Linked DNA regions of Ovis aries. The protein of the gene in region 1 purifies or fractionates together with the protein of each later gene. This does not show direct contact. Links are inferred from orthologs where the notes say so. Each region holds a gene or a part of one and is shown on either strand. Other genes may lie near its edges.

What was found.
Region 2: the proteins of FXR1 (region 1) and ORC2 purify together in Homo sapiens (affinity purification with mass spectrometry; 4 studies listed by BioGRID and IntAct, with this or other methods). This does not show direct contact. The link is inferred for Ovis aries from reciprocal best matches to the Homo sapiens genes FXR1 and ORC2.

What each region holds. Positions count from the first base shown.
Region 1 is NC_056054.1:206,947,863-206,952,374, forward strand, and holds the start of FXR1 (RNA-binding protein FXR1), read right to left. Parts: upstream 2,859-4,512; 5' UTR 2,848-2,858; coding exon 2,797-2,847; intron 1-2,796. UniProt on the Homo sapiens protein: mRNA-binding protein that acts as a regulator of mRNAs translation and/or stability, and which is required for various processes, such as neurogenesis, muscle development and spermatogenesis.
Region 2 is NC_056055.1:203,313,288-203,317,105, forward strand, and holds part of ORC2 (origin recognition complex subunit 2), read right to left. Parts: intron 3,816-3,818; coding exon 3,717-3,815; intron 1,582-3,716; coding exon 1,472-1,581; intron 1-1,471. UniProt on the Homo sapiens protein: Component of the origin recognition complex (ORC) that binds origins of replication. DNA-binding is ATP-dependent. The specific DNA sequences that define origins of replication have not been identified yet.

The DNA.
Region 1 (4,512 bases):
GAAAAAAACACCAAAATGTTAACTATTATTCTAGCTTTTTCTGATAGTTTCTAAAATCCCTCACTGACCATGTATTACTTTTTAAATTTGAAAAAATTGCTTAAAATTACTTCCACGTTAAATTAAAGAACCCAAACTCAAAATAGTATTCTGTATGATTCTATGTAGGGAAAACTATGGGGACAGAAACCACACTAGGTTCCAGGGGTGAGGAGAGAGGATGACTACAAGGGGACAAGATAGAAATTTGGGGGATGTGGAATTATTCTATCGCTTTACCCTATTGGTAGTGATTACACAACCGTTAGCATTTATCAAAACTTACATAATCGTCAAAGATGTTTTTAAAAAGATGCATTTTACTATAGGCAAATTAATCTAAAAAAATTCATGAATCTACAATTAATAATGTGCTTATGCAGTAAGCCAGTTTTTTCCAAGTGGACAGTTTCATGGGATAAAAATATTACAAACTACTGAACTACTTCAAACATCTTATTTTACGCAAAACAATATAGGACCAGGAATATTTGGTCAACAGTGCACTGCTAGATGACCTTAAATAAGCTGAAGTATGTAGAGACGCAGAATTCCTATTTGTTTAACTTCAAATGTAGGGCTCCTTCCACTTCATCATCTTTACTCTTCCAGAGTTCTGAGGACCATAGCTTCCACAAAGTACAAGTCGATTATTGCAGGACATAAAATTCAAAACATTTAAGTGCTACCTCAGCAGATTCAAATGTGGCTAGGGTCCTTCCCAACCTCTGCCAAAGAACCACCTTACTACACTCTGTAAACAAAATAGGTGTAATGGACTCAAAAAGTCTAAGAATCAAGCAGATTTTGTAGAGTATGGATAAGTCTCATCGATAAACTACAGTTCCAAAACAAGGACAAAAGCAAAAAAAAAAAACAAACTATGCAAAACCAACGTAAGATGGTAAACAATCTTTACTAAAACTTGCAAACTGACGATATTATTGAACCTTTAAAATGTTTTTAAAAACGTAAACGTTTAGCAGATGAACATCAAATATACTTGCATAAAAAGAAATGGTGTTGTATCATCTATCATCGACATGCTGAAAATTGTTAAAGCAAAACAATCTTTCCTGTGTTTCGATATGCCAGGAAAAAATGCGTTATCTCCACTACACAAGAATTCAACAGCCGAATAGTGAGAATAAAGCAAAAATGATGAACCTTATCTACCTTTGACAGTAAAGTATGATAAGCCCACTCTTTGTGCAGTGCCACAAATGTTATCTGCAGTCTTTCAAAGACGGCAACCATTAGAACAGGCTAATGATATACCTACTCAAATTTTACTCAGGGCTTTTGTATGACAAAAAGTTGTTAACCTAGACTGATAATGGAACTATTCACTAATTAGGACTCCTTTCCACTAGTCACTTTTCACTTTACGTTAACCACCTAAGGAGATTTAAACTTGTAAAAAGCTTAACGAGATCCTTTAGACGCCAACAGTGATTCTCTACTACGCTATAACCACGTGACAGCTAAACCAATTTCACACAGCTAATTAGTAAACTAGAAAAGGAAAACGCTAAAAATAGGAATTACGACCACCAAGTAAGAGAAAATTCCGTGGGAGATACGAGGTACGCTGAAACTAAACTCAGAATACATTCTGCGTACTCACAATACTACTCCTGTATTAGGAGAAGGCCCTTCATAAAAATAGCCAGGACTCTCAAACATTTGAGATGCTGGCTTAGTAAGACTGACTGACAGACAACAGCTGGGGAGATTTTTGTATTGATCTTGTAACATCGCGGCATTACTTTGGGAGAAAGGGAGAATCGGGAAAAGGGACTGTTATAATGGCAAGACTAAACTTGTAAGGATTTCATTTTCAATTAAGTGACCCCTACACTGGAAGCCCCTAATAAATTCCTCTACTCTCGAATTCCTCTTCCGTTTTCCAGACTCGATCCCACAATAATGCACCTTCAAAATACGCGTGTGTGTGTGTGTGTTGCGGGGGGGGGGGGTCAACACCCTCCAAAAACACTGGATAACTGAAACACAAACTAGTTACCTCCCCAGCTGTGTCTTCTTAATCTATCTCACATTTTAAATCTTAAAGCCTAGAACTCTCTCGCCTTTTCTTCCGTAATAGAGGGGCTAAGGCGCCGCCCAATTTCCCAGGCAAAAAACAAAATAAAATATTTCTACCCGCCACATTTCAAGGTTTTCTAGTTTTCTCTTCGGTCCTAATCTTCAATTCTGCACTCGCTCTCTTCAGACACTGAAGTTTATAAGCCCAAAACCCTAGTACAAAGGTGAATTCCTAAGATTCCGCAAGGCACCCCTCAAGGGGGTGGGGAGGGGTCGTAGCCGCGGGCCGAGGCGCTCTCGCTCGGCCCAGTTCGAGGGGCGGGGGAGTGGCTGTGACCAAACAATCCCACCACCTCCTTTTCACGACTCCCCCCACCTCTCGGCGCTCGGGCCTGCTCCCAGGAAGCTTCCTGCGGCCACTCGGCTTCTCCTCACCGGCCCGCGAACGGCCACACTAGCATCCAAGAAAAAGGTTCGTAAGTAGGAATACGCAAGAACTGTCCGACGTGTTGTTTCAAAATATAACGGAGCCCGGGCCCCCGAGACCGTTAAACCGCGGGTGGAGGGGGGAGAAGCGATGAACCCAGTGGCCTCAGGCTTTGTCCTGGCTGCCTTTTTCGACCCCAAACGCCACTATGTTGAACCACCAACCCTCCCCCAAACCGGCCCGAGCCCCCAGAAGAGCCAACAAAGCAGCAAAAGGGTCGGTACCTTGTAGAAAGCCCCGTTGGAGCCGCGAACCTCCACCGTCAGCTCCGCCATGTTGGAACCGCAAAGGCCGCTGGGAAGAGATTCTAGAAACTTTCCAACCAGAGGGGAGGAGGGGGGAGGGGCGTGAAGGAGGCGGGGGGAGGGGCGGGGAAAACAGGGCGGGACTGGGATCCCCCGCCCCACACCCCTGGGGTCTCACGGTTCCGCCCCGGCTCTTCCAGTGGGATCCCTCCGCTCCTTACATCACTCCCCCCCAGCTCCGCCCGCCGTCGCCAACGCCCCGTTCGCCTCCCGACACAATCGCCCGACCTTTGGTGACCCGCCCTACGTCTCCGCCCCTAAGCGCCGGGTGCTTGCCAGCCCCAGCCGGTCGGGGCCTCCTGCTGCCCGGGAGTGAATTGCCCCGGCACAGCTTCCCCCACGCATCTGCGTTCCGGCAGGCTCGGCACCTTGCCCTGAAACTTCCTTGAGATGCTGGAAGCCCTGGAGTAGCTTCCTTATCTGGTGAAAAGCAACTTTGGTGGCTTCAGTTGCACACTGGCACAAACTTTAGGGGAAAGAGGGAAGCTAAAAATGTACATACTATGTGCTGTAAATTTTGTAGCCTCGCTTTCTTAGGAAAAAAAAAAGAAAGTGTTATATTGGTGGCTTCTTCCTGACTCCCAGTCCAGCCCTCTCCCCACCTGTTAACCACTTTCAGTTCAGTTCAGTCCGACTCTACGACCCCATGGACTGCAGCACGCCGGACTTCTCTGTCCATCACCAATTCCACTGTTTAAAAAGTTGAACTAAGTATTTCCAGTTCAAGTTAGATGTATTCATAACCCGGGAGGTAATACCATTGTTAGAAGTAATCATGAAAACAATAAAGCTGTAGAGCACGTTTTTCCCCTACTGCAGTGCGTAGGAACTTCCACACACAGGATCAAAGCAGAACCAATTTGTATGGCTTTTCTACCAGAACCTACACCAATACCATTAAGTGTTCAAAGTGGAGATACTTTGAATATTTAACAATACTGAAACATTTTCCGAAAGCAAGGACTTTGGAAACAGTACTGGAAGTATTCTTTTCTGTGTGTTGTTTTACCGTTTTGACAGGAAAACCCTAGAAAAGGATGCTTTGCTGGCACACTAGCTCTTAAGGAAATGCTCATGGGCCTAGCCCTGGCCTTTATGAGCAAGGGGGTCCTTTAAAATGTACGTAAAATTCCATCTGAATTACTAAGGGCTCCATATTGCTATGGATGGAATGTTCTTTTTAAAATGTTCATCATTGTGAGGAAAACACAAGCACGCTAATACATCAATGAGTAACAGCCACCATTTATTAAGGGCTTCATGTGTGTATGACACTTTCTATAATCATCTTGCAATGATCCTTCAGAATTAAAATACCCTAATTTCCTTTTTCCCTCACAGCTGTATTGAAGTGTAATTCACCTACCGTACAATTCATCCATTTAAGGTGTACAATTCAATGGTCTTTAGTACATTTACATAATTGTGTAATCATCTCCACAATCAATTTTAGAACATTTTCACCATCCCCCCACAAAACCCTCGTATCTGTTGACATTCCCCATTTAACCCTACTGTAGCCATGCGTTCCAGGAAACAAACTCAGAAGGACAGTGCAGATAGTGGAGTGCAGTTTATTACATCGGCAGGCGAAAGCCAGAGTCTCTTAGCCAAGGACCCCGACCAGTCTTTGTG
Region 2 (3,818 bases), on another chromosome or scaffold:
TGGAAGATAAGTGAAAAGGACTATTAAGAATAACTCAGTTTTTTGGCATTGGCAACTATATGATTAAGTGATATTCACTACCCTAGGTAGTCGGGGCAGGTGGAAATGATGGGTTTAAGATAAGTTAAATTTTATGTATAATGAATTAGTTATAGAACTTCTACGTGGATACTTTCAATATAATTCATGTCTGCTGCTGAAGTGAATTTTGGCTGGGCTAGAGACACAGTTATGGGAGTTATTCACATACAAAGAGTAACTGAAGCCAAGAGAGTGGGTGAGACAACCCAGAACATCAAGCATGAAAGGTCAAGTTAAAGTTCAACTCCATGATTGTTTATGGAGGTCAATCAGAAACAGTATATATGAGATGCTCTGCAGCAATGCAGGATAGCCTAGAAATAGAAGAAAAGAAGAGCTAAATCCCCAAAGGCAGAGATTAGCAAGGTAAAAGCAGCAGGAAAAACAAAGCAAGGGAATTCAGAGAACTAGCAATTCTACTGAAGTAGCTGACTATGAGGTCTAGGCTGGGAAGCAAAGCAAATCGTTATCAAAGTTGACATATGGGAAGAAAAGAACTGGTGGGCTGTGGGGTAGGATTAGAGTGAAGATCTGCCATATAAACTTATAATGAACAGATACACAAATAGTTACTCAGAGGAGATGAGGTCCTAACAGGGAAGAAGATAATTTTCTTACTAGCATAATCCTTTGATTTATTATTGGCAAAAGAAAACCAGGATCAACTAGGGAAAACTGTGGCAATTTCTCTGTTCTTACTGCACTCACATTTTAGCATATGTTTTAAACACTTCCTTATACTAAGTTTCTTTTAAATACAAATATAAAAACAATTATAGAAAAAAATTTCTATATTTTAATTTTTACCATTCTAGGTATTTTAATGAAAGTTTAAAATTTTACCTTAAGTATTTGAGAAATGATAAAATATTCTAAAAAACAATTTAAAAATGGTAAAATAATATTTATAGACCAGACCTCATGAAATTTGAAGGTTTATAGTACATGTAAATAGAATGGGATTAAAAGAAAAATACATGTTCTTTCATTTTAGAAACTTGGCTGTGAAAAACTGAAGTAAAATCTGATATATTTATCAATTGTGACAAATTGTATCTTCAAATATTTTTATAAGTAATAGTTCATAATTCTAAGAAAGGCTATTTAGTTTATAAAAGCTTTCAAATTTGATTAAACTTAGAAAAGACACATTTTCTGTAAATTGGAATTTCTGAGAAGAGTCATATAATAATATGACATTTCTACATTTGGGTCATAAAACTGGGAAAACATCTATTTTTTCAAATTTTTACACATAAGTAAAAATGCATATCAAGGTCACTGCAAAAAAAATTAATGTCTAACTGCTTTGATTTTAACAGACTTACGTATATATATATTATGTAAATATATTTATTTTACAGAGGTTTGTAATGATAATAGTACTTACTGTAACTGCAACATCCATTTATGAAATAACTGCTCATGCTGTTGATTTAGTTGTTTAAGTTCAGCAGAAAAGGAAGGAGAAACCTTGCTCAGTAAGTTGTGCAAAGTTTGCTTTAAAAAAAAGGAAGAGGGCAGAAGAAGATCACTCTCAAGTCACATACATCAAATCAACTCAAAGTAAAAATATTCCCTTACAGGTCAAGGTTAGAAGAGGCTATTAGTGGAAATATTACTTTAATCAGGTTTGGTAATGAGTGCATCTACTGAATATACACAGTATTTCAATATTTGTTTTTGTAAAATGTTATATACTCTTACATACAAGCATGTAAAAACAGTAATGAATTTGCTAAGTTTTGTCTAGAACCATTTACATGACAATGAACTCCAAATGTAAGGCTTTAATTTCTAAAAACAACTGTTACCATCATGAGATGATTAAACCTGCCTCCCAGTTTTGACAACAAATCCAGACGTTCTGGTGACTAAATACAGCTCACTTCTTGAAATGAAAACACTAGCAAAATGCTGTATATCCCTTTTTACCTTGGCACTACTGCGCTTTCATCATGCTATCCTTTAAGTAAAATATTCTGTTAATACTGAAGACTAGTGCAGCAATCAAGATTCTAAACACTCTAGCCTATAGTTTGTATTTTTTGCCAACAGTTTTAATTTATTCACATACTTAAAGAGAAATAGGACAAATTCTAAGTGAAATGTTAAGCAGGTAGCTTTAAAAAATTTCTCTCTCCATCTGTGCCAAATTACATTACTAGCCCCAGCACTTGCCGCTCCCCTATCCATACCCTTTACTGTGTGACTTTGCAATGCCTCCCACTCAACAAGTGAGTCTAGTCCCCTGCTCTTTGACTTTGTTTTCAGCCACGTCATTTATCGTGGCTACCAGAATGAGGCAGAAGAGACAGAGACAGTTTTGAGCCCAGGTTTTACGAGGTCTTTCTTTTTTCACTTCTGTCTCTGACATTGTCATGAGAAGAACATGCCTCTGGTAGCCTTCCAAGGAGGTCCAACAAGGAAGACAGATATGTGGAGCAAATCCTAGATCGGCCAACTCCCAGCTAATTGGAAGACATGAGATATAAGTGCATCCTGACATGTGCTACCAAGACTGTATCCATCAGCTATGTCTGCAATTTATGAAAGACTTTCCTTTCTTTGATTATCAGTAACAGGTGTTTCTTGCATTCTCTGAGAGATCTTTGTCTCTAGGTCCTGTGAAGTCCTACTCTGACCCTCCACTTTCCCCCACCCCCAGGCTGCTTGTATAAAAACAGATGCACTAAGAAGATGTTAGTGCCATCTCTTCCTTGGAACAATGTGGTTTCTTGACACATGTTTTCAGCTAGTCTCTGATTTGAGTTGCAATACCAATGAGCCAGGTAGAAAGAAACAAAACACCCAAAAAAACCAACCACACAGCACCATGTCATTCAGGTCAGTGGTCTACCCAATAATCTCCTCTCTCTGTTCTATAGCTTGAAAACTCTGTCAAAAGTCCTGTATACCTTAGAAAATTGCACTGAATTCTACTTTCAGGAAATAATAAAATTTTGATTCTCTGAGTCAATAACAATCTCTTATTGACTTAAATTATCAAGCCCACTTTCTATCAAACATTTTCTTATTCAGATGGTTCTGTGTCTTGTCTTAGTGAGGTACGAATAAAAGCCCTGAGTCTAACTGTATGGTATTTTTTATATGACACACTGGAACCACAGTATATAGTAACCCTGTTATCTTACTGTACTGGACAGGCTTTCCATAATATCAGAAAGCAGAATACCCACTACGTTTTGCAAGGTTTTTAACTCAGAATCAGGTCAGTCAGTGTTTTATAACCAATGTGAGGTTCAATGAATATATGGGTTAAAATAACAATAGAGATTAATGGCACATGGATTTCAAAGAAACTATGACCCTGCACAGGGAACTATATTCAGTATCGTGATAAACCATACTGAAAAGAATGTGAAAATATATATAGATGTATAACTGAATCACTTTGCTGCACAGTAGAAATTAATACAACATTGTAAATCAAGTATACATATGTCAATAAAATAAAAAAAGAAACTATGACCCTGATGATTACTGTAGGTCCTGAAGAAATGACAAATAAGAGAAAAACATAATTATAGTACTCTTCAGATTTTGCTGCGTATGTAGCGTATTTTTCAGCTCACAGTAAGAAAAATTTAGAAGTAGCCTTCATTGCAACTTACCTGATCCAATTTAGCCCTCTTTAGTTTCTGCAGTGTCCTATCAGAGGTTAAAACTTTAGAACTGCTGTGGGCTTCAAAATATTCTTCTACTAAGTGACTCTG